Linked DNA regions of Tamandua tetradactyla. The protein of the gene in region 2 interacts with the protein of the main gene of each other region in a biochemical or structural test. Links are inferred from orthologs where the notes say so. Each region holds a gene or a part of one and is shown on either strand. Other genes may lie near its edges. The genes, in order: PHB2 and MAP1LC3A.

Region 1 (15,794 bases), on a different chromosome or scaffold from region 2:
GGGTCTGGAGGTGCCTCCCACCTGCTGCCCTGGGGACCCCAGCCATGCCCTTCCTGGGGCAGGCGCGTCCCTGAGAACCGCCCTGCTACTGGTACCCACCCCCTACCCCACACACAGACACACTCACACGCTTCTTGAAAGCCCCATGGCCTTTATTTAGACATGACAGGAAGGAAGTGGGTGAGGGGGGGGTTATTTTTGACAATCTGGGTTTGAAATTAGCCATCGCGACTCAGGGCACCAGCCTGACCAACCAGCCGGGGGGGCGGGACTGGGGCACAGGGTCCTGAGCTTCCTGCGTGGGGTCTGTTTGCCCAAAGGGAGGTAGAGGGGTGGGAGGAGGAGGGAGGCTTCCCACTGCGCTCCCCTAACTCTCCTCACCCCAGTGCCCACCCCTCCCCCACAGTCCCCAGGGCTGCCCTTTCCCTGCCATCACGGTTTAAGGAAAAAGGGAAATGGAGCCCTGCAGAAAGAGGCTGCAAATATGACTTCGGCAGGGCGGAGGGAGGGAAGGCTTCGCTTGGGACAAGGATGTGAGAGATGGGGCCAGGGGAGGGCCTGGGGCAGCAGGGGGCGCTCTGTGGACTGGAGGGCCTAAAGCTTTGCTGGGGGGCCAGACAGGAAGCAGGAGGTAAAGGGATGGGTCGTGCTGGGAAGGAGGCACACGGTGGGGCCCTTCAGAACCAGGCGCTTCCACACAGATCCCCTGGCTGAGGTCGAGAGCCCAGGTGCAGCGTTAGCAGCTCCTTCCCCTCGCTCATGGGTGGCCCTGTCTAGTTGCTTTATGCCACGCCCAGTGGCTGGGGCCGAGCCCCGTGTCCCCCCCATGAGGGGATGATGGCCTCTGTGGCCCTGTCCCTTCTCTCCCCAGCGCAGGCATCGGGCGCACGGGCACCATCATTGTCATCGACATGCTCATGGAGAGCATCTCCACTAAGGGTGAGCTTGCCCGTGCTCCGGGCGGCGGGCGCAGGGCCCTGGGCTGCTGGTGGGCGGCGGGTGCCTGCCTCGGCCTGCGCCCTGATGTCGGGCTGTCACCGCTGCTCAGGGCTGGACTGTGACATCGACATCCAGAAGACCATCCAGATGGTGCGGGCCCAGCGCTCGGGCATGGTGCAGACGGAGGCACAGTATAAGTTCATCTACGTGGCCATCGCCCAGTTCATTGAAACCACCAAGAAGAAGCTGGAGGTCATGCAGGTGTGTGCAGGAAGGCAGGGCTGGGTGGGGCTAGCGGGGGGAGTGGGCCTCACCTGGCCAGGCTGGGACCACCCCCCTCCCCCCACTCCTCTGCCCACAGTCCCAGAAGGGCCAGGAGTCAGAGTACGGGAACATCACCTACCCCCCCGCCATGAAGAACGCCCATGCCAAGGCCGCCCGCACCTCCTCCAAGTGAGTGGCCCCTGCCTGCCTGTTGGCCCCCCCCAGCCCCTGCGTCTCTCCCCTCTCCAGCCTGGGCTTCCAAAGTGCTAGAGTTGGGGAGGCGTGGGTTCAAGCTCAAGCCTGGTTTGCTACTTCTGTCCACAAGTGTTTCCTGAGTGCCCGCTGCGTGTGGGCAGTGCTGGGTACTGGCTGTGTGCTGACGGATGGGGTGCAGCCTCTGCTTCAGGGAGCTACTGATCTAGCATTGGGACAGCGACTGGGTCATTCTGCATTCCTGGCCTCAGTGTGCTCATCTGTGAGATGGGGTGGTCCCAGAGAGTGCTGTGTTTCCTGACGCGAGCCAACTGCCTACCCTGCCCACCCATCCGCAGACACAAGGAGGAAGTGTACGAGAACCTGCAGAGTAAGAACAAGAAGGAGGAAAAGGTAAAGAAGCAGAGGTCAGCAGACAAGGAGAAGAGCAAGGGATCCCTCAAGAGGAAGTGAGCTGGGCACCCTCCCGAGGAGGCCGTGGTAATGGTGCCCTCTGCTCAGAACCACGCCTCCCTGCCTGCCCCTGTGTCCCCTGGCCCCGGTGCTCAGCCCTGTGTCGGGGGTTGGGTGGCTACAGCCTCCCCTGGCCTCTCCAGCTGCTCCCAGCCCTGCTCTTGCTGCTTTCCCCAGGTCTGACCACCCTCCTTACTCCTGTTTGCCCTTCTCTCTGCAGCCTCAGCCCTGACCCCTGCAGGCCTCCAGCCGACGGACCCCCAGTCTGAACCTAGGACCCCTGTCCCTGTTCTATTGTAATTTAAATGGACATGTCTCCACTCCCTCTCCCTGACACTGTATATAACCCAGCAAGGCCCAGACAGGGCCAAGCCCTTCTCTCTTGTAAATAAAGCCCCTAGGGTCACTGCGTGTGCCTCTAACTCTGTGTACCTGGGCAGGAGGGGGCAGAAATGGGCCTCAGCCTGCAGTGTTGGGCACCGGGGTGTGGGTAGGGGGTAGGGAAGAGGTGTGTGTGGATGTCTAAAAGCTGGGTCTTCCAGCAGCCCTGGTTCTGGACTTTGCTGAATTAGCTAGGGCCAGTTACATAGGGGTGATTGCCAAAGCCTTGCTCCCCTCACTGGGTGGTTGTAGAGACCATAAAGCTAAGAGGGATGATGATAGCAAATTTATTATGTGCCTGCCGTGTGCCAGGCACTGTTTTAGAGACATGTTCATTCAATCCAGCTATCTTTATCATTCCCATTTTACAGTGGGGAAAACGGAGGCACAGAGAGCTCCAATATCTTGCTCGAAGTCACAGGACTATGGAGCAGGGAAGCTGAGGTTTTAACCCGGGCAGTCTGGTCCCAGGGCCCCCACCCCTATAGCTGGGTCTTGCCAGTGGTTATACAACCACAGCCCCCGAGGACGATGCCCAGATCCAAGGACTGAGAGGAATGAGGGCCGGTAGCACAGCCCCAAGGCCAGCCCCGGGCTCCCCTCACCTGGGCCCAACTGCCCCGAGGCTCCTGTGGCAGCTCCTTCCTGGCACTCCTACTTGCGCCCCAGGTTGCTTGGCTGGCTGCCCAAAGACAGTTTTTTGGGGGTGGGAGAGCAGGGTAGTTTACTGTTTCCACCTCCCTCCACTGTGTCCAGAGTGGAGGGGTGGACCACCAGCGATTGCTTTTTTTGCCTTGATGCTAATGTCCTGGGGGAGTTAGATCTGAGTCAGTCACAGCTCAGCAAGGACTGGTTCCCTCCTGGGAAGTCTCAGAAGTGGGGAGGAAGGGACAGAGGCTTGATTTCATTCATTCAGCAAATGCTCCATGGAGTCCACTGGGTTATGGGCACTGGATTGGGCTGGAGACGCCATGGCGAGCAAGGCAGCTCCTCCCCTCCCTTCACTTAGGAGACTGGAGGGAGACAGACCCAGAAACAGTCCAGGAACACTTGAAATAAAGACAGATTGGGCGGGCGGGCGGGTATCAGGACAGAAACAAAGAGCAGAGAGACAACACAATAGCTCAAGGGCGCACTGGCCCTCCAGGGGGTGGGTGGGTGGAGCGCTCACCTGTGGGCCTTGGGGCCCCTCTCCCGAGGCAACGCCCTTGGATCCCAGCCCCAGCTGCACAAAGGGAAAGCGAGGTCCCACCCCCTCTACCCGCCCTGGGGCCCTGGGCTGGGACTTGGACTCCCCAGAGGGAGGGAGAGAGGCCAGGTGGGTTAGGGAACCTGGGTCCCTACAGAAAACAGAGCTGGGTCATCCCTCCCCCTGGCTGGAGGGGCTGGAGGAGAGGCACTGAAAGCGTGAAGGTGATTTGGAAGGGTCAGTGCTGATGCTCCCGGTCAGGTCAGGCCTGGTCGTGGTTCTGGGAAGGGGAGACCACAGATCCCAGCAGGGGCAAGCACCCCCACACGGTAGAGGAGGAAGACGCGCTTTCCTGGGGACCTGCCTGCCCTCCACAGGCCTGGAGGTGCCTTCGTTCCCCCCCACCGTCTCCGCTGCCTTCCCTCAGGCGATGCTCAGACGTGGGGCGTGGGGCGGGGACAGGGGTCTGAGCTGACCTCAGATTGTAGTTCTGGCTGTGGGTGGAGGTCTGAGTCCTCAGGGACCGGGCTGCCTCTTGGGGCAGGAGCAGTTGTGGGGAAAGGCTGGGGAGACAGGTAGGGGGCCCCAAAGATTGCCCCTTACACCCTGGGTGGGGGCCGAGGAGGCCAGTAGGCGAGAAGAGTCCACGGGGAAGGGCGGGAGGCCTAGTGGGGTAAGTCAGGCCTCAGAGAGGTGCCTGTGGCTGGTGCTGGGAGGGAAGGGGTTAAGGCGGTGGCGGTGGGGGGGGCAGCCTATGGCAGGAGGACACACCTGTGCGTAGGGCGGCAGGCAGGGCAGCGGGCGGAGCCCAGGTGAGGAACCCAGGGCTGCCTGGCAGGCAGAGAAGGAAGGAGGAAGAGCGGAGGCCAGGGCGGCTTCTAGGCCGTAGAATCCTGGGCCTTGACTCCCCTTTCTCTCCTCAGCACCCACCCTCTGGGGTGCAGGTGGGCCAGTGACAGGTAAAAGCCACCGGGAGAAGGGTCCAGGGGCTGTGCTACGGTCTGCAAAGGCAGGATGGGGCGGGTGAATCAGTGTGTGTTGGGGGCAGGGATAGATCGCAGTAGGGGTGGCGGGGTAAGGGGCTCCAAGGCAGAGAGCTGATGTGTGGGGGCTGCTGAAGTCCCTTCTGGACCTCAGCCGATCAGCTCCCCAGGGTGGGGCGGGCAGCAGGGCTCACCCGGAAGTGTCCCCAGGGACGCGCTTGATGGGGGAGGGGAGCTAGGCTTCTGCAGCCTCTCCGCAGGGACTCTGGGCCTGGGGCTTCCTGGCCTGGAGGTGGGCAGGCTGGGTGGGGGACCCCGTCTTACCCAGCAGTGTTTGGGTGCTGGTTGGGAGTCTCTAATACTGCCGGGTAATGATGGAGGCCCTTGCCCCATGTCAACGGCACCCATCGCCTCAGGCCTTCAGGCCCCCAGCCGGCTGCGCTGTCTTCTCCTCCCCTCCCCACAAAACCTGGAGGCCTCTTTATCTTGAGCAGAGGGTGCTGCAGAAGAGGTAGCACCATTGGCCAGCTGCCCGCTGGAGGAACACAATGGCCCAAGGCCTTCCCCCAGTGGAGTTTGATTTGTCATCTGGTGGATCCAGAACCCCCAGCGGACCTGGAGCTTGCAGTTGGCTTGTGCACTCTCTCGAGGCCTCACCTAGCCTGCGGCCAGGGTCCCTATGGCGACTGGTCAGTTCTAGCCCGGATTTCCACGTTGGCCGACTCTGGGTCCATCTTCCAGTACAGTGTTGGATGGTCTAATAGTGAAGCTCCTAACACTGTCTGGTAAAGATGGCCCCCGGGCTGGCTCCCTCGACAATGACCTTCAGGGCACCCTGAAGACCCGTGGAGGCCTCCTGACCAACAACCTCTGACCTTTACCCCTCCGGATGGGGGTGAATCACTAGGAAAGAGGGAACAATGGGAGGAAACAAAATGGCTGCCTCTAGAGCCATAGCATTATTTGGAAATGATACTGTCCCCTAGGCACCTCCATCTCTTTCTGCCTTGGGAATGTGAAAGAAATAAAGTGTGAATAGGGACTGGTGAGAGATCAAACCGGCTCACTTGACGTGTCTTTTGTCTAATTGTTGCTTTCATTTTAGGGCTTCCAGCTCAGCTGCTGGGAGTGGGAGCTGCCAGAGTAGGGGAAAGTTAATTAATCTACTTTCTTCAAACCCTAAGAGGCTGAAGACTAACCTAGCCCCTCCAACCCTCCCCAACTGTGCATTTTCTCTCTACATATTTTTGTTTTATAGTTCCAAATATTCCTTGTCTCTTCATAAGGATGAGGGAAATGGGAACTGAAGATAAAAGTGGGGACTTCATTTTTTTCTGGTGCTTGAGGTTCGTTGTGGGGTGCCTCGAGGAGGATATGGAGATGCTCATCTAAAGACGAAACACCGATACCTGTTCTGTGGGAGTGACAAGCCCACCTCCACAGGTAGAGGCCTGTTACACACAGAGCTCCTGACAGGTGACTAAGAAACTGGAAGCACAGGTAGCCCAGCAGGCAATATGATCCACTGGGCTTTGAACACTTAAGTCTCTCCCATAGCTACAGGAACTGTTACCAAGGAAGCAGCTCTCATTGGGATCATCAATTTTTTTGGTCTGGCTCAGCAAAGCCACAGCTGCTCCAACCTCAAAAAAAAGAGATGTTGATATGTAAACAGGGTGAAGTGATAGAAATGAGAGGTGGGTGGAGTGCAGCTGGGCCTCAGGGCCCGAGGTCCGCAGTTCCCACTCCGCTGGACTGGGAGGGCAGAGCAGCAGGGCCCAGGCTTGGTCTTCCCTAACTGCCTTGGCAAGATTTGTTGCGCCCTCTGCTGGCAGGTACGAAGAAACACCCAGAAACGTGTGCACATGTGTGGGTAGCAGCTCAGACACGTGAGATCTTGATTTAGGCTTTAGTAATAAAAATTTATTGAGAATTCCTGGGATGACGGTTATCTCCTCCCAACACTGTAGGAAATGATGGAAAAACCACACACTGTCCCCAACACCCCTGGCCACACAGGGAGGAGGAAAGCCACTCCCCTCATAAAGGGTCAGTCTTGGTTAATCCAAGAGGGGTGGGAGGACTAGTGCATAGGGGGCCATCACATGATACTGGAGATGGGGCACGAGACTCCTAACTAGCTCCTTGAAAACCAGGGTAGAAGCAGATCCATGTCCTCTCTTGGGGTAGAATTCTTGGTCACCAGGCTCATTTCTTACCCTTGATGAGGCTGTCACTGTGGAAACAAAGGGCCAGATTTATAGTCTTATTAGGGGACTTACATGTGAGAGACAGAGAATCCCAGGCCACTCCTTTAACTGCCCCCCCCCCCCCCCCCCGACTGAGGGTGTGTATGTGGGGACGGGGGTGTGGAGAGGGTGAGAAATGGCTAGTGGGATGGGGAAGAGGGAGGCAGGGACCTGGAAAAGATGGGGCGTAGGCCCCACAGAAACATGGATACACCAACTTACCTTCCCCTGTGGAGTCCAGATCACCAGATAAAGAGGAAACACAGAAAGAGAAGAGAAATGCACATGTGATTTGACAGCTTCAGGCCCCTCCCTCCTCTACCCTCACCCAGCTCTAAACCTTCCTGACCACTTGAGAAAAAAAGACAAAATGTTGGAAACCAGAAATCTCAGGCTCATGAAAGAGATGGTTCTTTCTGCTACTCATCTTTCCTTTCTTAACATCCTTCCATATTCCAGAGCAGCAAGGTGAGAGCTCCCAAGTGAGAGCTATTTTTCAATTGGACAAACCTTTACAATTACGGCGTTTTTTGATACAAATCAATCTCATGAGATGCAAGGCAGAAATTGTCAACTACCCCTTTTCTGAAAAAATTTTGATTCGTAAGTAGTGTCTTTTGAGGGTTACACAAGCAGCTGATAGCAGAGCAGGCTCTAGAATCCAAGTGACCAGATTCAAATCCCAACTTCTCTGTGGCACCCCATTGTGGGTCATGTCTCTCACCGGGTGAAACTTTCATCCTGTAGGTTCAGCACAAGGTTGTCGGCAGTGAGATAGATACGGTTCTGTGATGTGGCGATCTATAGGGGAGACAGAGAGTCAGATGCTTGCATTAAGCAAAGAGGACTTTGATTCCTACCCTCGATATTCAATAATCATTCCTCATAGGAGTAGGCATGGTTTCTGCCCTCATTCAAGGATCCAGGGCAGTGAGCTGTTCAATTACGACTTGCCAGTTCCCTAAACAAGGCATAAGCACAAGTGGCAAGGGAGCCCAGAGCAATCATTTTTGACGGAAAGAAGGGTCAGAGAAGCCAGTTTGAGCAGAAACTCGAACAAGCAAGATTCAAATTTTGCTTGCTTCAATGTGCTTCAACTGAAAACAATTTTATGGCCAAGCAGTCCCGTGAGATATGCTGAGCACTCAGACTCACCGTCTTGGAGATGTTCTGGGCTGCCCGGATCTTGCGCAATTTGATGTAGCCTGGGTTCTTGCTCAATGCTTCTCCAAGGTGAGCAGGGCCGAGTTAAGGGTTCATATAAGGTCAGGTCTCAATCTCTGGCCCAAATCCTCACTACCCCTCACCTCTAGGCTGTCAGATCCAAGGTTGTGTTCAGATAGCTCGTGCCTGTCCCTACTTTGGTTCCTACTGTAGGCCCCTCTGCAGGCAGCTGCCGGGAACTGAGGACAGCAGCAGAAATGGAGGTCAAGGCCAATAGTGCTATTGATCTGGCCTTACAGTGGGGAGCTAAGTCTCAGATACCCCCACTAAGATCTCAGACCCCATCCCTAACCCCCAACCCCTAAGGAACCAAGGTCAGAGAGCATGAAGTCACATTCGCCTTAGTGTCATCAGCCAGCCTGTGAGGGCAGATGGGGAAAGCAGGAGTTCCAGGGGCTAGGTTGACATCTCTGAGTAGGATATCATTTTGGCAGCCTCAGCCTCACCCTCGGCCTGCACGATCTTCTGCCGCTGTTCCTGCTTTGCCTTTTCTACCAAGAACTGGGCCCGCTGGGCCTCCTGCTGGGCTGTGGTAGGAGCCAGAAGTCAGATGTTGGGTGTCAGGAATTCTATACATGGAGCCACAGAGCCATCCCTCCTCCTGCTTTGCCCTTGTAACTCACCCACTTGTTTGGCTTCTACAGCAGCCGTGTACTCTCGGCTAAAGCTCAGCTCTGTGATGGCTACATCATCCAGGATGAGGCTAAAGTCTTTGGCCCGCTCTGTCAGCTCCCGTCGGATCAAGAGGGACACCTGGGGGCACAGATGAGGGGAAAGGGGGGAATTTGAATATTGGAGAACTAGGAAAGGAATGTGTGTTGCTGTGACCATCTTCATATCTCCTGAAAATGTCAGGAAACTCACTGACCCTTTTTTATTTCCTCACTAGAAGATATAAGTTGGAAAGGACTTGGTCCAGGTTTCATTAGATAGGTGAGACAGGTTCATAGGGATACTATGACTGAACTGACTCCTAATTCTGTGCTCTCTACAAGACACCAAGAGTCACTCAACTTTCTGTTGGACAAACCTGTAATTATAAGCTTCTTTGCCAAAAGGAGTGTAGGAAAAACGTAGATTTTGTGTTATCTCCTAGTCTTCCAACCCTAGACTTTCAGGCTTACCTCTCTTTGTTTCCCACAGCAGCCATGAGAACAGCCTTTAGGTGAAAATGAAACAAGGCTCACAACCCTTTTCTAATAAGCTGCCTTCCCTGACATCTGGTCCCAACGCACTGGGCTTAGGAGGGAACTGTGACACATTACGGACAGTCAGACCTGGGCCCGCTGGGTGATCAGCTGTGAAGCATTGAACTTGGCCACCACACTCTTGAGCACTTCATTGACAATGGATGGCAATACTCGCTCCTCATAGTCTAGCCCAAGACGCTGGTACATGCTGGGAAGCTCCAGGGCGTTGGGTCGAGATAGCACTCGCAGGGAGATATTCACCATCTGCAGGTCTGATAGAGAAGTCAGCCGTGGTTGGTCAAGGTCATGGGGCCTCATGTGGACCCGTAACCAAACACGGTGCCCCAAGAATTTTCTCCTCCATTTGGTTCCCTCTTTGCCTATTACAGTGCTGTACAGATTGGAACTCCCCTAGGGGAGTTGATAAGAACAATTTAACAAGGCTCAGGACAAATGCATCTTCATCAACTGTGACGTTTTCTTTATCCATACCCCCTTCACTGGTAAAGCTGACCCCGATTTTTGCACTGTACTTTTTGTAACCTCTATCATAGACTTTATCATGCTGTAGCACAATATTCTATTTCCTTTACTGGACTATATTCCTTGTCCTCATGGGACAAGGAGTGTGTTTGTGAATCTTTAATCCCCATTGCCCAGGGTTTAAAGAATGAATAAATGACATGTGCTAAAAATGTACAAATAAATACATCACAGGTTAGTGGTGAGCTACATGTTTCAGTGTGTATGAGAGTATGAGAGTGAGGGGTGAGGATGAGGAAGAGTTTGGGGACTCTCAAAGGCACAACTTTTGGGTATAGCCTGAAATCTGGAACAAGTTCAGCACTGAAGAAAGACAAAAGACTTAAACCAGAAAAAAGGGCATTCTACTGGGTATAATTAATAAGTCAAGTGGTTAGAAGACTAAAACGGCTTTGACCTAGGCACTGATTAAGACAAAATCCTAGCCCTCACTGAAGTATACTGGGAGAGAGGGGGAAGGACAGGCATAAAACACTGTGGTAGGTGTTTACATTGGCTTTAACCCCAGGAGGTTAGGTAACTTTTATGATCCCTCTTTTGCAGATATGGAAACCAAAGCCTGAGAGACTAGATGCTACCATATTTCTCTTAGGGTCTCTTTCCAGGCTCCCTAGTTTACTTTGGGTATCCCGTTGGCCACATGACTTCCAAGAGCCCAGACCTACCTTTGGAGCCTGTGGGGGAAGAGATTTTTCGGGGTCTGGCCCGAATATCATAGATGATGGGGTACTGGAACCAGGGGATCCTGGCGTGGAGAGAACAAGGATCAGAAGAGAACAAGTATCAGACGCCTGTGTCTCATTAGCTTTGACTGGCTTCCCTTACCACATGTCTCTTGACCACCTCCTCCCCTTATCGGCCACGGACCTGGAGAGATTCTCTTCTCCCTTTGCGGAACAACAGTTTATGTGCTGTTGAAGTTTTAGGCAGCACCCGCTGTCCTGGGGGCAGGGGTGAGGTGAGCAAAGTGCAGCGCTGAGTTCTGTTGCAAATCCTACTATATCCACTGGAAGTCGACGTCGGGGTGAAGAGCTAGGGCCAGTCGGCCTTTGCCTGCCCTTACCTGAAGTGAAGGCCCTCGGCCAGGATGGTGTCTTGCTGCACGCCGCCGATTCGATTAAAAAAGATGGCTCTGTGCCCGCCTTCCACTGTGGGGAGAGGGGTGGCCATCAAGCCAGACAGCAGTTCAGTATACGTGGTAGGTTCTGGTGGGGTGGGGTGAGGGTGAGGGTGAGGGGGCTAGGTGAGCGCGGAGACCCAGCGGAACAGGGTAGGAGGTCTGGGTAGGGAGGGGTTAGGAGTTTTCGGGAGCTAGGGAAGGGAACGGGTCGGACTCAGCGAGGGGGCGGAGAAAGCTCACCAGTGAACACCGACTCGCGGACGCCGTAAGCCACCGCACCGGCCCCCAGCAGCAGCTTCAGTGCTGTGCCCATACCCCGGGGCCCGGCGGGCAGGCGGCCCGCTAAGTCCTTCAAGTTCTGGGCCATGTCGGCTCGCGAAGCCGGCGGCACCAGCGGGTAGACGGAGGTGCCGGCCCACTTGTACCCCGCCCCACTTTAAAACTGTACCCTTCACACGAGGGTCTGTGGACTGCAGAGCTCGCGGGAGAAAGGGCACCGGAAGTGCACTCCCTTCTAAACCCTCCCCTTGCCCAGTGGCGGACCCGAACTTCGCGCATAGGATTCCGGACAAACGGAAGTTCCCGCCTTCTCCTGGAACGTTGCCCTCCCTGGGCGGCTTCGGTAACGCTAGAAAGCAAACAATCGCCATTTCGAAGCGCCCACTTCCAAAATGGAAGCCGGAAGGAAGTTTGCAGTTAGGGCGAGGTCCGATACCGCACGAGGTTCTGAGAAATAGATTTAGCGTAATTTCCGCCCGGTTACAAGATGGCTGCGCCCAGTGGTGGTTTCCAAGCTCGCCAGCGTCGCGGTGGGGAGCAAGAACAAGACTGGGATGCTGCGGCGCCCAAGAAGCCTCGCCTTGGGTTGGGAAGCAAGATCGGAGGCCGTAGGCTCATTGTGGTGCTGGAAGGAGCCAGTCTGGAGACAGTCAAGGTAGCTTGGGGCACGTCGATAGGATGGGATTCCCAGAGTTGAGGGTGAGGGGCTCAGCGTGCTTGGAGAGAGCAGAGTGGGGTGAAACATTTTTTGGGGGAAAGGGTGGTCTAGTTGCTGTCCTTTGTACTAACATAATGGGTTGGCAGTAGTCTTTTTTTTTTTTGCCCCCTAGAATTCCATTAAAGCTCACACCTCCTTACTTCCAGTTGTTTTACTGGGGTTCTGTGATATAAAGTCATTTAGGGGAGGGGAATTCCGTTGTTCCATATCCCAAGACAAATTGCTGGGCAGACGAAAAAGGTAGTTACTTTACTCTTGTGGAACTCTTGCATACTTTTATTTGTATGGACTTAATGTTTTAATTTGTTAAAAGTGCCTCTATATTAATATCTACGGCGAAACACTGCTTGGCCCAGATTATCTTTTAATACCGTTACAACAAAATTTCACGTATCATTTGTTTTTTTTCTTTGAATGGGAGAAAATATTGCATAAGGGTTTAATATCCAGAATATATAAATCATTTGTTTCTTTTTCCAAGTGTAGCAAGTCCAGCAATTTCCTCTCTTAAAAACTGTACATTTCTTATTCCCTTGACTCTTTTTTCTTGCAGACTTTGCAGTTGAACTTTTTCAGTGAATAGGTCCAGAAGAAATAGCACTGGTTTAGAAGTCAGAGATGGGTTTTAATCTTGTTTCTAACACTTTTTAAAGTGTTTGCTCTTAAGAAATTGTTTCTTCGTAAAATGGGGTTAATGCCTTATTTATGAGCTACAGCCACATGTGATGGAAGTGCTTTAAAAGTAGTATATTTTTAGTTATCTAAGGTGTGATATTTTCTATCCTTCCCTGGCAATTATGGCATTTTATTAAGCTTTCTATCTGGAAAACCTGCTGTTTAAATGATTAACTTATCAAGTCTCTCATTCTCTTTTGTAATTGATATTTCCAGCCTCAATATAAGCTCTTATATTCATCACTCACTCCATTGTTTGCTATCTTTTCGGCCTGTTAACTCTGAATGTTGATTTTGACACTTGTCATGTCAGTTATCCTTCATAATTGTGTAATTTACAATTGTGGAAAGCATGCCTTCTGTGGCAGCACACACAGGGCTTGAGAATGCCGCATTTCCACTAGACTAGACTGGGTTCAGATCAGTTCTCTACGGCTCACTAGTTGTGTGACCTTTGGCAAATCACTTAACTTCTTAGGGTTGCCGTGAGGATTAAAGAAGTTATTATGTGTAAAGCTTAAAATAATATCTGGCACTTGGTCATACTAAGAATTAAATATTTTTTATTCCAGGTTCCTTACTAAGAAGTTGACAGGTTATGGGCAAATTAAAATCCCTCGGTCATGTTCTGAAAGAATTTTGGTCAGGTTGTCATTAGTGCTGCTTCAAGAATTCATAGCTAGTTGAAATTTTTACAGGACTGTGCTGTTGCCTTTTTCCTTCCTCGTTCTTTCACCTCCTGCTTCTCCCAGCCTCATCTGGGTCTGCTCTTTCCATTTTTTCCTGTATACTTATACTCAGTCTCATTGGCCTTTTTTTGTAAATGAGTATGTTGGATGGTGGGGGTCACATTTCTTTCATGTGACTATCCCGTTATTGCAGCACTATTTGTTGAATTTTTAGGGGATGGGGGTGGGGAAGTGCATGGGCCAGGAATAGAATCCAGGTCTCCCACACGTGGCAGGTGAGAATTCTACCACTGAACTACCCTAGTACGTACTCATTGGTTTTTTAAAAGTTCTTTGGAAGCACTAAGTTCTCTTATAACCTAAGGCCATTGCACATGTTGTTCTTTAACTGGAAGCGCCCCTTACCCAGCTCTTTGCCTAATATCTACTTATTTGTTCATTCAATACTTAATTGAATATTTATTATGCTATCTATTCAATTAAGGTTAACTGCTACCTCAGAGAAGTGACTCCTCTCATCCCTGGTATAAATCAGTTCCTTCTGTTCTTATCCTTTAAGTTTTCTTTTCCTTTATAATGCTTATCACAATTTGAGTTAAATATTCATGTGATTGTTTACTTTTGCCTCTTCCATTTAAGCCTCTGTGAGGGCAGAGAATGAAATTAAAAAAAAAAATTCTTTCTTGTATCACCATTACCTCGTACAGTTATGGCACATAGTAGGTGCTCTTTAAGTTCTTGTTGAGTCAGTGATTGTACATAAAAATACTATTTCTTTAATAGGCAAATGTGGCTTTAAATTATATGATATAGCTTTTGCAAAGTGACTGTGTGATTGTGAAAACCTTGTGTCTGATGCTCCTTTTATCTACTATATGGACAGATAAGTAAAAAATGTGGATTAAAAATAAGTAATAGGGGGAACAAATGTTAAAATAAATTGGGTAGAGGGAAGTACTAGTGGTCAATGAGAGGGAGGGGTGAGGGGTAAGGTATTTCTTTATATATTTTTTTCTGGAGTGATATATTTTGAGAAATGATAAAAAAAAATTCATTTCCCATCCTTCTGCTTCTCAAATTCTGTGGTTCACAAAGCACTTTCATATGTAATCACATTTGATTAGTGCCCTTTAGCACAAAAGTTCCTACTTTTTCAGTCTTTTCTTTTATGCACGTTTTTCTTGACCCCATCCATACCTTTGCTTATATCAGTCTTAAAACTGGGAATAACCCCTCTTCTTTTATTTTAGAGATGTCATTAAATTGCCTCCTGTTCAGATTTGCAGCTCCTCACTTAGAACAAACAAGTGTTTGTTTTATATAAGCAAACGGAGGGTACTATTTACCCAGTATACTCATTATTGCCCCCTGTGATAAACCTAGGCATTTACCTTTGCTCACTAACCTAACTCCTACCCGGTTCCAGAATCCCTCATTGGCCTTGCCTAGTAATCACAGGTTTTTAAATACAATTTAGATCATGTGAAATCACCATTTATACCCATCTTCCCTTTTCCTCTAAAATAATTTACTCGGGCGTAAATGCGACCACACAGTGATCCCTGAATGACTTGCTGGGCCTTGCTCCCATGGTTTCTGATTTAGTAGGTCTGGTATGGCCCTGAGAATTTGCCTTTCAAACAAGTTCTCAGATGATGACTATGAAGCTGGTTCAGGGACCACTGGACAAAGTAATAGAAGTTAATGTTGCTCTCTCCTCATTTTCACTGTTCTTCAGGTAGGGAAGACATATGAGTTACTCAACTGTGACAAACATAAGTCTATGCTGTTGAAGAATGGACGGGACCCTGGGGAAGTAAGACCAGATATAGCCCACCAGGTAACTTCAGGAACAGCACTCATGACCCCTTGGACCTTTGTATGAGGTAAAGCAGCTGCATGTCGCTTCTCACTAGCTTTAACTCATCAGTCGTGGTTTTTGCCTCCCTCAGAGTTTGCTGATGCTGATGGACAGTCCCCTGAACCGAGCCGGCTTGCTACAGGTTTACATTCACACTCAGAAGAATGTGCTGATTGAAGTGAACCCCCAGACTCGAATTCCCAGAACCTTTGACCGCTTTTGTGGCCTCATGGGTGAGAATCCTTAGGACTTAAAATTTAGCAGTAGTGAAGAAGGGAGGAATAGGTAAAGGGAAAAATTAAATATGGAAGTGTTAAGCTGGGGGAAAGCAACATGCTTGTTATCAGTAGAAGGTCTCCTCTTACCTTTTCATGTGCATGCAGGTATTACTCTCCTGCATGGAGAGTGCAAAAGGGAAAGTCTGAACTCATTGGCTGTACTAGTCATCATATGTTTGACAACTGCTTGTTCTTAAAGTTTTGGAGTGCAGTCTGGATGCAGAGGACACACTAAGCCTACTTTCTCTGTGGATTTTTCTGTTAGATTACTGGACAGATGAAGTGGGGTCTGCACCTGTCTCTGAATTCTCTTTTTTTTTCCTTCCCCTTCAGTTCAGCTTTTACATAAACTCAGTGTTCGAGCAGCTGATGGCCCCCAGAAACTCTTGAAGGTGAGGTATTGAAACCTACAGGTTGCAAATAAGTTTTTGAGGATGTTTCTGGGATTCACTTTTCTTTTTCTTTAGGTAATTAAGAATCCAGTGTCAGATCACTTTCCAGTTGGATGTATGAAAATTGGCACTTCTTTTTCCATGCCTGATGTCA
Region 2 (14,851 bases):
TTTTAAGCTGAGGACAAATATAATCGGATTCATCCTCTGAAAACCTCATTTTTCCAGGAGGGGAAGATGTAAGGGGTGTGAGTCTGTACTTGAGAGCCAGGAGGAGGATGTCAAGCCTGGCAAAAGGCAGTGGTAGCTGATCAGAGGCCTCAATATCTCAACCCAGAAGGGTGGCTGTGAAGACTAAATTTGGAATTGGATGGAGAAACCTGTAGTGAATTGACAAGTGCTACGTAGATATTAACTGCTGTTATAGTGGCTTATCTTGCCTTGTGACCTTATCAACTCTGAGACAGGTCCAGTGATTTCACTGTTGATTTTGCACTATGATTAAGCTAGAAGGTAGAGCTCTAGTTTTCTACCTTATCCTTCCATGTAGTGTCCATTCAGGTTATGAGTTGGCAGGTGGTGCTACAACCCTGTCCAGTCCATAAGCCAGCTATCATCCTCCTCCTGCATCTAGCTTCCTAGATCCCCAGTCACCGCGGGCCAGTGCTGTCCTCTTTTATTGCTGACTGTGATGACCACATGAGTTCCTCCAGGGTGAGCTGGCTGTCAAGTGTCAGCATCTCCAATAGGAGCAAGAGGCCTAGGGAACCAGGAAGCTGCAGCCCAGAGGCCAGTATTGCCTGAGGCTGCTTTCCCAAGTTCCACAGCTTCAGGAGGCACTGAACTAATGACCTCCCACTGACTCGGATGTCTCTGATACTTATTTGCCTTCTCCCCTCTAAAAAGATCTGTCTTTCTTCTGGCTAAGTGACAAGTCTGTAAACTGGGGGGAACTGCCCTAAGAGGAGTGTTAGGAGGCTCCAGCATGGTCTGGCTTGCAGTAGGACTCTGAGTGTGGCCAGAACGTGAGCAGAGGCCCCAGGTGTGGCAGTGAATGCAGTGTTTGCAGGACTGTTGGGGGTGTAGGCGGAGTGGGGGAAAGGTGGAACATTGGAGGCTCTGAGCAGACAAATGAAGAGCTCAGTGTGTGTGTGTGTGTGTGTGTGTGTGTTTGTGTGTATGTATGTGTATACCTCAGCAGGTAGAGAGGATGGGACAGGCCTCCCAGGGAGAGCCGGTATGGCAGGGAGGAGAGGGGACTGAGTCAGGAAGTTTGGGAGGAGAAATTGACACACCTTGGTGATTGATGGGAGGAGAGAGGCAGAGGGACTTGGTGGCATTCTGTGAGAGCAGGTTCAAAGAATGGGCTATTCTTTAGTCCCTGAAGGGCAGAAAGCAGATATATTCCAAGGCAGATATATTCCACATTGGCAAGGACTAAGTGAAGAAACAAAGCTTAGGGAAGTGGAAGTGACTTAACACAGGGTCTGACAGCACCACTTACTCATGCCATTTCCAGTGCCCCTTACCAACCTCCCCCTACCTAGAATGGGCAAAGGGGCTCTGGGTCTGCAGCTACTATGTTGGCGGAATCCTAGGGTCTGTGGGAAATCCTTTTTCCTCACAGCCAAAATGAAAAGTCCCAAAGTCAGTAGAGGTGGTCTCAGCCAGCCCGTGACCAGTTCAAGGTTTCTCACTGAAAAAGCTTCCCTGTGAGCTGGTTTGGTGTCCAGGGAGATGCCCCTCTCTGGGGCCAGGGGTCCCTCAGGGGTGTTGACCTGTTCCGGATAGCCCAAGCAGGTACCCGGGGCTCCGCCCCCTGCCTTTGGCACTTTATTATGACAATTTTTAAACACAGAAGAGTTGAAAAATTTTACATTGAGCACCTATATACTTATCACCTAGATTCTGTCATTAACATTTTACTAGACTTGTTTGATTATAACTCCATCTACTATATTTTTTAATGTATTTCAAATTAAATTGTAGATATTAGGACAGTGCCTGCTAAATATTATACGTATAATGTGTCTTATTAACTAGAGTTCAGTATTTCTTTCCATTTTCTTATGTAAAAGTTACATGCAGTGAAAATCACAAATCTTAACATTTGCTGAAGCCTTCTTTCATTCAAACTGTTCTTGAGGTCCATGATGTTGCATATAACAATAGTTCAATGCTTTCTTTTTAGTGAACTTCTGGAATAGCTTTACATTAACAGGTAAATTTCAAAGATAGGATTCCTACATGCCCACCCCCAGTTCCCTCATTGTTAACCTCTTACATTGCCATGGTATGCTGCTCAAAACTAAGAAACTGTTTTTGGTGTATGACTTATTAACTAAATTTCCAGATTTGATTTAGATTTCAACAGTTTTTCCACTAATTTCCTCTTTCTGTTCCAATATCCAATCCAAGGTACCACATTATATTAGTCATCCCATCTCCCCAGATGCCTCTGCTCTGGGACCATCTCTTTATTTTTTATAACCTTGACAGTCTTGAGGACTGCTAGCCATGAATCCTCTAGAAAGTCCCCCAACTGGGGATGTCTGTCTCTTTTCTCATGATTAGACTGGGGTTATGGGTCTCTAGAAAGAAGACCGCACAGTCATCTCAGGGATCCATGCTAGCTACTTGGTATCTCCATTGAGGTAAACCTCCTTCATCCCTTGGTTAAGGTGGTAGGTGCCAGGTTTCTTCACTGTAAAGTCACGTGCCCCACTCTATTCTGTGGCAGTGAGTCACTATGTCTAGCCTAGCCCACTGTCTGGGGTGGAGGATAGCAAGAATTAAGCTTTACTTTCTGGAGGGAAAAGTATATTATTTGGAATTCTTCTGTAAGGAAGATTTATTTCTTCTCTCCATGTATCTATTTACTCAGTTGCTTATTGGCTGAATGTTTTTATTTGAATTTTTATTTTATCAAGGTAACACATGGACATTTACAATACATTTACAAAGTTAAGGTTCAAAAGAAAAAAGAATAGCTCCCTAAGATTTTATCATTATTTCTTCTGGTATTTGTATTTCTTAATTATTTTCTCATTTTGTATTAGACTGAATCATATAAAATTTGCAATATCCAAACATTCATTATTTGCAGAAATGGCAATTTCATATGGTCCAACCTAATACATATTTTGACTTCTGGCTTTTTTTTAATGACATTGGACTTTTGTGTGGCATCAGAGTTGGCTCATTTTCTTTTCTTGCAATTTGTGACTATAGGACCTACCCCTCATCTGACCTGGTTCAGGGGTCAGTCCCACAACCTCAGGCACTGCTTCAGGCTCCTCTGTGCTGGGTGAGAAAGGGGTCAGCCTGTGGTGTGATAACTGTCTCTCCAGGGGACTTCTTGGGCTCTGTCTGCTCTAAGGAGACATTTGGCAGAGTTCTGCTGATTGGGCCCCAGGCCTTGCAGAGTCCATGGCCACGTGGAGTAACTGAACTAGTGCAGCTCTCTAGTTGTGGTTTTAGGCCAGCTGTTGAACCCTTTGAGCCTCTGTTTCATCTCTTCTGTTAAATGGGCATGATCAGTAGCCTTCCAGACAGTCTCCTGTGGTGGTAGAATGGCAGGTACTTGTCTTGAGGCCTCGTGTTGTTGGTGATGGGCATATCTCCCTAAAGTCCTTTTCCATGCCCCTCCATATTCTTTCTGTCCATAGTATGTTCAGCTACTTTCATAAACTTCAAGTGAGTAAAAGAAGTTTCCCAGAGCAAGCTCTGACTCACTCTAAGATCCTAGCTAAGGGCCTCAGTCTCTGAGCCATGAGGTGGTTGGTGCTGATATCAGAGCTGCCACAAGGTACTTGAGATCTGTTGGTTGTCTACAGTAGCAAGCTGCTCTCTTGTCTTCATTGGGACTGGGCCCCTCCCTGTCCTGTTCCAGGCGCTAGAGAGCTTCAATTTCTTGGGATGGTTGGGACCAAAGGACTTCAAGCCTAGTGTACAAGTGACCTTGGAAAATCCCTTTCTCTTTGGGCCTCAGTGAGGAGAATAGTGGGCTGAGCTTCCAAGGCCCTTTTGACTGTGGCCTAGAATTGGAAAGGCAAACCGAGCTGGGTACAGATACTCTGGTGAGCAGAACCACTCAGGGACCCTGCCCTGTGGCCCTCCCAGTCCAGTGGAGGGGAGACACAGTTGTCAAGCAGTCAAAGATGGAGATCAAAGTATAACTTGGATGAGTCTGTGCTAGCAAATAGTGGTTAATGGGACCCAGACCTAAACTGGGGGTAAGGTAGAACTGCTCTGAGAAAATGATCCTTCCTGAAACAAGCAGGCATTGCCTTGATGGAAGAGAAGAGCAAAGAAAAGAGCAAGGATCCTGGCATGGGAGGAAAGAGGCTAGTATAACAGGAGCAGAGGGAGGAGGAACACCAGGGGTGGGGAGGCACACACACAGCAGGGGTAAAGCCCTGGAGGTCCAGGGAGTTTGATCTTTACCCTGGGAGCCATGGGAAGCCTTTGGAGGATTTTAACCTGGGAAACACTCATTCCCTGGTTGCCAGGGATAAGGGACTGTAGGAAGAGGTTTGAGAACAGGGAGCCCAGGGACTAGGCTTTGCTCTTGCTTAAAGATGACAGTATCTTTGTCCAAGGTGGTAGCTATGGACTTAACAGAAATAGGTAGATCTCAGAGTTTAGGGAGTACTCTTGACAGGACTTGGTATCATACTGGCTGTGGGGAGTTCTTGCAGGGGAGCAGCGTTGGGTGAGTCTGTGGCCTGGGCTTCAGGATGGAAGATGGGGGTATGGGCACCTGGTGGGAAAAGTAGGGACGTTTGATGTGGGTTCAGCTGGGATGGAGGTGGTTGTGGGGCACCCTAGAGTTGAGGTTAAGGGGCTGCTGGATACAGATGCACCAGCCTGGCATGCAGAGATCAGGGTTTGGGATGGAGATGGATAACCTAATGGGAGAAGCACGTACAGTGTTGGCAACTTCTGAGGTGCCAGCAAGACCTTGCAAGGTCAAATGTGGATCCTGAGGTTGGGAGTTCACTGGGCAGGCTGCTGATCTAGGGTTGGGCAGGGGCTTTCTTGTCTCCCCAGCACCTTAGGAACTTAGGATTCAGGGGGAGATACCAACAAGTTCTTACACCTTCTCTCTTCCTTCAGATCCTGCTCATCTCTGATTATTTCTACGCCTTCCTGCGGCGGGAATACTACCTCACACATGGTCTCTACTTGACCACCAAGGACGGCACGGAGGCCATGCTTGTGCTTAAGTAGGCCTGGCTGGGCACAGGGCTGTATGGACTTCAGGGAGTAGAAGGGCAGGAGCAAGACCAAGCCCTCAGGCAGGTGGGATTTGAATCCAGGGTCACAGGTTCCTGGTATCGGAGGGGGATCATGTCTGGCAACCAGGCCTGTGCGGAAGAACCAGGAGAATTCCACTTGGACCCCTACTTTGTGGCTTCACCCACCATTGTGCCCCCACCCAGGCAGGAAAGGGGGAAGAAGTAGGTAGGAAAGGCCTGGTAGGTTGTGGCTACTCAATAAATGCTTTTTTTTTCTTTTTGTTAAGATGATGTCTGTCCTGGGACCACAGTCCCTACTGGAAGAGGTGGGCTGGCCACAGTTATTGCCCTGGTATACTATACTGATTTATGAGTGTCCATAATAAACCCTAAGGCCACAGAATACAAGTGTGAGTCCTGGCAGGCTGAGCATGGTACAGGACATTCCCATCAACCTTCCCTACCCCCTAAGCAAGCAGCCGGAGGCAGAGGGCCAGGCAGGCCTGAGCAATCTTTATTCTGCAGAGGGACAGTGACCACAGATCCATATACCATGCCAAGGTCGGGAGAACCAGGGGCCAGTCCTGCAGGGGTGGGCAGATCCAGGCAGGGGGCAGCACCTTGGGTAGCTGAAGGGCAAATGGGCAGACAGGCAGGGGCCTAAAAAACAAAAAGAAACAAAAAAATAGACAAACCACACAGCAGGGGTGCTGGAGCCAGCACTGAAGAGGGAACCCTAAAGGGACTGGTGCAGGATCCACGCAGGGGCAGAGTTAGGTGACTGCCCCCCCCCCCCCCCCCCCCCCCCGCAACTGGGGTCCACATCCCTGCCCAGCCCACCAGAGGCAGCTTAGTTCAGGAGTGGCAGACCCTGACTGGTTCCCACTCCCAGGCCAGCCCCCCCCACCCCCTGCTGCTGGCTCAGAAGCCGAAGGTTTCTTGGGAGGCGTAGACCATGTAGAGAAAGCCATCCTCATCTTTCTCCTGCTCATAGATGTCTGCGATGGGCGTGGACACGCTCACCATGCTGTGCTGGTTTACCAGTAGGAAGAAGGCCTGCGTAGGGTTCAGCTGCAGGCGGCGCCTGAGGCAGGAAGGTGAATGTGAGGGGCATGCAGGTAGTCCCTGGCCCCTTCCCCAGAATCGCTCGCAGCCTCTTCTAAGAGGTTCTCTCATGAGGCAGCACTGACCCCTAGACCTTGACCTTCCCCAGCCTCCCAGAACAGGGGTCCCACTTTTGCCTCTTCGAGAGGGAATTTGGGCTTCTGTTTAACCCCAGCCAGACCCAGGTTCCCCTCCCGGGCAGTTGCCCGCGCACCGGATGATCTTGACTAGCTCGCTCATGTTGACATGGTCGGGGACCAGGAACTTTGTCTTGTCCAGGACGGGCAGCTGCTTCTCACCCTTGTAGCGTTCTATGATCACCTGCGAGTAGGGTGGGCAGGAGAGTGGGAACATGTGAGCCTGAGGGCCAAAGGCGGGCCAGGGACGGGGTAGGAAGGGGGCAGGGGTACTCACTGGGATCTTGCTAGGGTGCTGATCGCGTATCTGCTGCACCTCCTTACAGCGGTCCGCTGCAGAAGAAGAGCAGGACTTGAGGCGGGGCAGAGGTGCTGCCGGCGGCTCCGCCCTTGAGGGGCGGCCCCACCTCACCAGCCAAAGCCCCCACTCCCCGGGGCTATTGAGCCCTGCAGCCCTTGGCACCAGATGGGGTGGGGAAGCAGGGAGACCCCCTGCCCAAGCCGGACCCTGCCCGTGGGGCCAGCTGGAACCTGATGTCACAGGGCTGACGTCACCAGCGGCAGGCCAGGGCAGTCCGCGTCCCCTACCCCTGCGCCCCCCATCCCACGCTTACAAATCACCAGCCCGACCTCACCGAAGCTCCGCCGCTGCTTGAAAGGCCGGTCGGAGGGCATCGCGCGGGCCTGGCGGGGCGCGCAGGCCAAGGCTCTGGGCGCGCGGTGCGGGGATGTGAGTGCGGCTTAGGGGCGCCGCGCCTCACGCTGAAGGGCTCTCGGGCTCGCGCTGAACCCAGCGGCGGAGGCTTAGGGAGGTAACTCGCTCGGTGACGTCAGGTCACAACATTCCTTAAAGGGGAGGCCGGCGAGCTGCTCCCATTGGGCCGACGCAAAACCCGCCCGTTCCGTCTCGTGGCGTCACGGCGCAGAGAGCCTGGATTCCCGGCACAGAGACGCGGCGTGGGGGTGGGGGCGAGGGCGCGCTCCCATGGTGCGTCACAGGCACGACGTCATGGCGTGCGCGGGCATTTACCCAAGGCCCTTTTCGGAGACCGAAAGAAGGGGAGATGGTGGTGGGTACTTGACCCACCTTGGGCTGTGACGTTCTGGAAGGTTGAGAGAGCGCGCGGGTTCACCGAGTCATTCGACCAACGTGTACTAGGGTCTCGCCTGTTAGGGAACTGCTGGATGCTAGGGATGACATCAAGGAACCCAAGTCCTCACCTTCGTGGTCTTAATGGTTAGAGGAAAGCAGAGGGGGGGAGGGACATTAAAGCATACGGAAAGTACAAGACACCAAAAAGACTCTAAAGGACATTCTAGAATTGAAAAATAGTCAGTGGAAGGGGTAAGAAAGGTTAGAGCAGAAGAGAAAGTCGCCAAACTGGAAATACATCAGAAGCAATTACATGAAGAAACAGGTAGAAAATAAGAAGTGACATGAGTGATAGAGTGATAAAGACTCACAGATCCAATCAGAATAAGGAGACAAGACAATGTGAGAAGTGCCGGTAGAGCTCCCGAAATTCAGGATCATCACAGAAAATCCAAAGCAGGATAAATAAAAATAAAATCAGTAGCTAAGCACTTTGCAGTAAACCTGCAGAACTCTAAAGATGAACTCTTAAAAACTATTAAAAAGGCTAGATTACCTGAAAAATAAAACTAGACTGACACACTTCTCAGCAGCATTTATAGAAGCCAGAAGAAAATGTAATAGTATCTTCAAACTGCTGAGTGCAAAAATACTATCAGCCAGTAGTTAATTCATGATTAAAAGGTCAGGGACAAAATAATGTTGAGAGCGTTTACAGAAAACACTATTGCTAAAATAAACTGTAAAGGATGTACTTCAGTTACAAGACCATGTAATTCAAGAGGAAGAAATTAGTTGGGGGGGGAAAAATGGTGAGCAAATAAACTGGTGAATGTGTAGGTAGATCTAAAACACATAATATTGAACAGTAATGGCAATAATTGGCTTGGGGGTACCAAAACAAGCTGTATGAGACACAGCAGCATGTAAGACAGAGTATAATTAGAGTTACACTTGCCTGGCTTTGTGAAGTCACGTATGTATTTTAAACAATTAATAATAGTGACTAAAGAATAGAAGGGGAATGTATTATTGACAATGCAGAAAAGAGAAAAAGGGTAGTAAAGGGTACCTAAAATTATAATAGACAAAGAAAACAAATGAAAAAAAGTAAAAAGGGATGGTAAATTAAAAGCCCAAAACCACAGGTAGAAATGTCTTAAATTCACCTTTTTTTTTTTTTTTTTAAAAAAAAGATCAATTTGGCCAAGACAAATAAAATTCTATTCTGTGCTGTTTCAAGAAGGCCCTTAAAGACACCACAACTAAAAAGATGTACAGAGAAAAACTAACCAGAAGATGTAGTCATAGCAAAATCAGACAAAATAGACTTTAAGGCAAAAAAGCAGTATTAGGGATAAAAGAGGGTCACCACAAAACAATGAGCAGAACAGTTCTCTAAGAAGAGAATTCTGAACTTATATATTCCTGGTTAAAATATATATGAAGCAAAAGTGACAGAACAACAAGGAGAAATTGGTAAAATCCTTCCTCATACTGGAAGGTATTCAACAGACCTCTCTCAATAACTGATAAACAAAGCAACCAAAACAGGATTTTAACACAATAATCCTGCTCGGTGGACCTCCGTAGAATCCTGAAGCCAACAAGTTACTTTCAAACATACATGGAGGAAAAAAACATACATGGAACATCTACAAAAAATAACCCAACCTCTAGGCACCAATGTAAAAAAAAAAAAAAGACAGCAAATTTCATACAGACCATATTTTATGACCACAGAGAAGAGCCAAGAAAGCCCCAAATGTTGGAAATTTAAATATGCTTGTAACCCTTTAAAAATGAAATCATATAAAAATTTAAAATATTTAGAACCAACAAAAAATGAGGCTACATATAAAAACTTGGGGGGGGGCTAAAGCAGCACGTAGGAGGTAAGCAATAAGCCTAAGGAATTTAGAAAATGAGCACTTTTAAGGACATTTTAAAAGGAGCAACAGTATAAACTCAATATAAACTCAAAGTGGAAGGGATATCATACTAAAGAGTAGAAATTAATGAATGAAAAATATATACTAGTATGGATCAATGCATCAAATCTGGGTCTTTTAAAAGACCAATAAAACAGTGTGCAAAGAGGCCCAAGTCAGCAGAAATTACAAAAATACCATAAACAACTTTATGCCAATAATTTAAACCTTAGATTAAATGGGCAATTTCCTAGAAAAATATAGTTTGTCAAAACTAAATGAGATCTGAACTTCTTGGAATTAAGGACACTACAATGTCCAGCACATAGTAGAAGCTGAATGGAAATTTCATACCAATGAAAAATTTAATTTAAATAAAGTATGAGTTCATATATATGTATGTGGATGTGGATCTGCATATGTATGTGCGTATGGGTTATCCAAAATAAATGGAAAGAGACTCCCACTATTTTATTTGCTTTTTAAGGAAATCATATCTCTAGAAAGGTAGAGGGCTTCAAGACTCGTGAGTAGGAAATTATACGTATTTATATATACATAAAAATTTTGTGGCTTTTCAATTAGACAAGAAAAAGAAATACAAGGCATCAAAATTGGAAAGGAAGAAGTAAAACTATCACTGTTTGCAGATGATATGATACTATACATCAAAAGCCCTGAAAAATCCACAGCAAAACTACTAGAGCTAATAAATGAGTACAGCAAAGTAGCAGGTTGCAAGATCAACATTCAAAAATCTGTAGTGTTTCTATACACTAGCAATGAACAAGCTGAGGGGGAAATCAAGAAACGAATTCCATTTACAATTGCAACTAAAAGATAAAATACCTAGGAATAAATTTAACTAAAGAGACAAGAGACCTATACAAAGAAAACTACAAAAAAAACTGTTAAAAGAAATCACAGAAGACCTAAATAGATGGAAGGGCATACCATGTTCATGGATAGGAAGACTAAATATAGTTAAGATGTCAATCCTACCTAAATTGATTTACAGATTCAATGCAATACCAATCAAAATCCCAACAACTTATTTTTCAGAAATAGAAAAACCAATAAGCAAATTTATCTGGAAGGGCAGGATGCCCCAAATTGCTAAAAGTATCCTGAGGAAAAAAAATGAAGCTGGAGGTCTCACGCTGCCTGACTTTAAGGCATATTATGAAGCCACAGTGGTCAAAACAGCATGGTATTGGCATAAAGATAGATATATCGACCAATGGAATCGAATAGAGTGCTCAGATATAGACCCTCTCATCTATGGACATTTCATTTGATCTTTGATAAGGCAGTCAAGCCAACTCACCTGGGACAGAACAGTCTCTTCAATAAATGGTGCCTAGAGAACTGGATATCCATATGCAAAAGAATGAAAGAGGACCCATTTCTCACACCCTATACAAAAGTTAACTCAAAATGGATCAAAGATCTAAACATTAGGTCTAAGACCATAAAACAGTTAGAGGAAAATGTAGGGAGATATCTTATGAATCTTACAATTGGAGGCAGTTTTATGGACCTTAAACCTAAAGCAAGCGCACTGAAAAAAGAAACAAATAAATGGGAGCTCCTCAAAATTAAACACTTTTGTGCATCAAAGAACTTCATCAAGAAAGTAGAAAGACAGCCTACACAATGGGAGACAATATTTGGAAATGACGTATCAGATAAAGTTCTAGTATCCAAAATTTATAAAGAGATTGTTCAACTCAACAACAAAAAGACAGCCAACCCAATTACAAAATGGGAAAAAGACTTGAACAGACACCTACCAGAAGAGGAAATACAAATGGCCAAAAAGCACATGAAGAGATGCTCAATGTCCCTGGCCATTAGAGAAATGCAAATCAAAACCACAATGAGATATCATCTCACACCCACCAGAATGGCCATTATCAACAAAACAGAAAATGACAAGTGCTGGAGAGGATGCGGAGAAAGAGGCACACTTATCCACTGTTGGTGGAAATGTCAAATGGTGCAACCGCTGTGGAAGGCAGTTTGGTGGTTCCTCAAAAAGCTGAATATAGAATTGCCATACGACCCAGCAATACCATTGCTAGGTATCTACTCAGAGGACTTAAGGGCAAATACATAAATGGACATTTGCACACCAATGTTTATAGCAGCATTATTTACAATTGCAAAGAGGTGGAAACAGCCAAAATGTCCATCAACAGACGAATGGCTAAACAAACTGTGGTATATACATACGATGGAATATTATGCAGCTTTAAGACAGAATAAACTTATGAAGCATGTAATAACATGGATGGACCTAGAGAACATTATGCTGAGTGAGACTAGCCAAAAACTAAAGGACAAATACTGTATGGTCCCACTGATGTGAACCAACATTAGAGAATAAACTTGGAATATTTCATTGGTAACAGAGACCATCAGGAGATAGAAATAGGGTAAGAAAATGGGTAACTGGAGCTGAAGGGATATAGACTGTGCAACAAGACTGGATACAAGAACTCAGAAATGGACAGCACAGTACTACCTAATTGTAATGTAATTATGTTAAAACACTGAATGAAGCTGCATCTGAGGTATAGTTTTTTTATTTTTTATTTTTTTAATTTTTTTCTCTCTATTATCACTTTATTTCTTTTTCTGTTGTCTTTCTATTCCTTTTTCTAAATCGATGCAAATGTACTAAGAAATGATGAATATGCATCTATGTGATGATATTAAGAATTACTGATTGTATATGTAGAATGGAATGATTCCTAAATGTTGTGTTAGTTAATTTTTTTATTAATAAAAAAAAATTCTGTGAAAAAAAAAAAAACTAAATGAGAGACTGAGAGGTTGTCCTATGCCAGATAAACCCTGAAGCTTAGACGTACCAGCCTCTCCCAGAACGTCAATCAGTTGCATCCCCCTACCGCATAATGTCAACACCCCTTTTCAACATGAAGAAGATAGAATGGTCATTGTCCAAATATCCCTGAAGATTCAGAGAATGATCAAGTTAAAGGGAGGAGTTGTAACAGAGAAATTAGAATTTAATAAGGATTCTGACTACTGAATCATTACATAGATATATTTCTTTTTAGTTTGTAGTGTATTAGAACAGCCAGGGTGGTGTGACAAGGCTCAGTGGCAGAATTCTCGCCTGCATGCCAGAGATCCAGGTTCAGTTCCCGGTGACCCAGTGCCTATCTATATAACAACTATATTAAAATGTTAATCACAGATCTAGCTGGTGAATATATGGCTATCCATTGTATGATTCTTTCCATTTTTCTCTATGTTGGAAAAGTTTCACCATAAGATATTGGGGGAAAAAGATAAAAAAAAAAAAAAAAAAGACTATCCAAAATATATGAGGAACTTTTACAACTCAACAACAAAAAGACAAACAGCCCAATTAAAAAGTGGGCTAAGGACTTGTATAGACATTTCTCCAAAGACAATATACAAATGACCAATAATCAGCAATCTCTATAACCATCAACGTCTGTTGGTGGTTAAGTTCATGTGTCAACTTGACTAGGTTATGGTGTCCAGTTGTTTGGTCAAGCAAGCACTGGCCTGATTCTTACTGTGAGAGTATTCCGTGAATTTCAGTCAGTCAGTTGATTCATGTATGGCTGAGTACATCTGCAGTCAACAAAGACGACTGCCTTCAACAATGAGAGAAATCTCATCCAATCAGTTGAAGGCCTTACAGAGAGAACTGATCATGCCATTGGTTGGGAGAATTTCTATCTACTTCAGCCGGCCAACTTCTAGGGAATTCATCAAAGCCTTCATTGGTGTTCCCAACTTGCAGCCTCCCTACAGAATTCAGAGTTGCTAATTCCCACTGTCATGTGAGTCCATTCCTATAATAAATATTAGCATTTACATATACATATGTGCATAAATCATTTTCCCATCAGTTATATTTCTCTGTAGAACCCTAATACATAACCTTCAGGGAAATGCAAGTCAAAACCACAATGTGCTGTTTCATATCCACCAGGCTGGCTATTTGAAAAAAAAAAAAAAAAAAAACCCAATAGTGTTGGTGAGATGTGGAGAAATAGGAGCACACATGCATCATTAGTGAAGAATGTAAGATGGTGCAGCTGCTGTGAAAAGCAATTTGGCAGTTCCTCAGAAAGTTAAACATAGTATTACCATATGACCCAGCAATCCCACTTCCATGTATATACACCAAAGAATTGAAAGCAGGCACACCGATATTCATAGCAGCATTACTCACAATAGCCAAAAGATGTAAACAACCCATGTCCATTAACAGATAAATGGATAAACAAAATGTGGTATATCCATACAATGAAATATTATTCTGCTATAAAAAGGAATGAAACTCTGCTACATGCTACAACATGGAATAACTTTGAAGATCTCATATTGAGTGGAAGAAACTGGACACAAAAGAGCAAATACTGTATGATCGCTCATGAAGTAGAATATGTAAATTCATAGTTAGAAATTCCAATAAAAGTTACCAGGAGCAGAGGTGGGGCTGTGGGTTGAGAAGTTCCTGTTTAATTGCTACAGTTTTGTTTGGTGTGATGGAAATTTTAGTAATGGATGGTGTTGGTAATAGCACAAGTAATTTGAATGTAATCAATACCACTGAATTCTATATTTGAAGATGATTAAAATGGAAAACTGTTGAATGGTATCACAATAAAATAAAATTTGAAAAAAAATTATACAATACAAAGAGTGAACCCTAATGTGAAGTATGGACTATATCTTTATTAGAGTTAATCATAACATTGGTTATTAATTATAGCAAATGTACTACACTGAAAGAAAATGTTAATGGGGAAACTACATCTAGGGGTTGTATATGGGAACTCTGTACTTTCTATGTAAATTTCTGTAAACCTCAGAAATAAAAAGTAATAGCTTGAAGTGCAAGCAAAGGATTCAGTCAGGTTACCAGGTAACCCTGCCACCTGCTCCCTTCAGGCTGACCTTTCTTCCTACCCACATTTCTTCTCCACATTTTTGCCTTCTGAGCCTCTCTGGATTCATTTAATTTGCATGCGTACAGTGTGTGCGTTGCGCTAGGACATCCTGCAACCCAGACTCTAAAGCTATATAGGGCAGAGTCCTGTATATTACAAATACCATGGTTGTCTTCCTTAATATAATCTTTTAAAATCCTTGATTTAATCACATCTGCAAAGACTCAAATGAGCCTGAAATAATTACAGATTCCAGGGATTGGGACCTGCTATCTTTGGGGGACAGTTTTCAGCCTACTACAATGGGGTGCCTCCAAAGCCCACTTTTGAGGGTTGACTACTGAAGTTCCTATTTGTCACCTAAATGGCTAACTACTAGGGCTAAGTTGTATTTAACATGATAACCCAATTCCATGGGCCCAGGCTGAGAAGCTTTCTTTACCCTTATGCTTCTGCAAGCTCTCATTAAGTAATCTGTGTTTGTCTCTGTTGCTTGCAAACTAAGAGTCAAACCATAGCAAAGTGCCTAAGAAGAATGGCTCATTTTGTAAACTTT

The links.
Region 1: the proteins of MAP1LC3A (region 2) and PHB2 form a complex in vitro, tested with the Homo sapiens proteins (2 studies listed by BioGRID). The link is inferred for Tamandua tetradactyla from reciprocal best matches to the Homo sapiens genes MAP1LC3A and PHB2.

Annotation. Positions count from the first base shown.
Region 1 is NC_135333.1:69,257,964-69,273,757, forward strand, and holds PHB2 (prohibitin-2), read right to left. Parts: upstream 11,327-15,794; 5' UTR 11,116-11,326; coding exon 10,989-11,115; intron 10,777-10,988; coding exon 10,692-10,776; intron 10,374-10,691; coding exon 10,294-10,373; intron 9,358-10,293; coding exon 9,173-9,357; intron 8,649-9,172; coding exon 8,519-8,648; intron 8,423-8,518; coding exon 8,319-8,422; intron 8,254-8,318; exon of another isoform or gene 7,987-8,253; intron 7,905-7,986; coding exon 7,827-7,904; intron 7,473-7,826; coding exon 7,392-7,472; 3' UTR 6,324-7,391; downstream 1-6,323. Other genes in the region: PTPN6 (tyrosine-protein phosphatase non-receptor type 6), read left to right, coding at 872-939, 1,049-1,200, 1,301-1,392, 1,755-1,865, 2,090-2,138; EMG1 (ribosomal RNA small subunit methyltransferase NEP1), read left to right, coding at 11,515-11,682, 14,848-14,949, 15,062-15,203, 15,582-15,640, 15,716-15,794.
Region 2 is NC_135327.1:18,188,026-18,202,876, forward strand, and holds MAP1LC3A (microtubule-associated protein 1 light chain 3 alpha), read right to left. Parts: upstream 7,306-14,851; 5' UTR 6,986-7,305; coding exon 6,946-6,985; intron 6,644-6,945; coding exon 6,588-6,643; intron 6,495-6,587; coding exon 6,388-6,494; intron 6,154-6,387; coding exon 5,991-6,153; 3' UTR 5,977-5,990; intron 5,730-5,976; 3' UTR 5,562-5,729; downstream 1-5,561. Other genes in the region: GPI-anchor transamidase component PIGU, read left to right, coding at 4,948-5,020. UniProt on the Homo sapiens protein: Ubiquitin-like modifier involved in formation of autophagosomal vacuoles (autophagosomes). While LC3s are involved in elongation of the phagophore membrane, the GABARAP/GATE-16 subfamily is essential for a later stage in autophagosome maturation.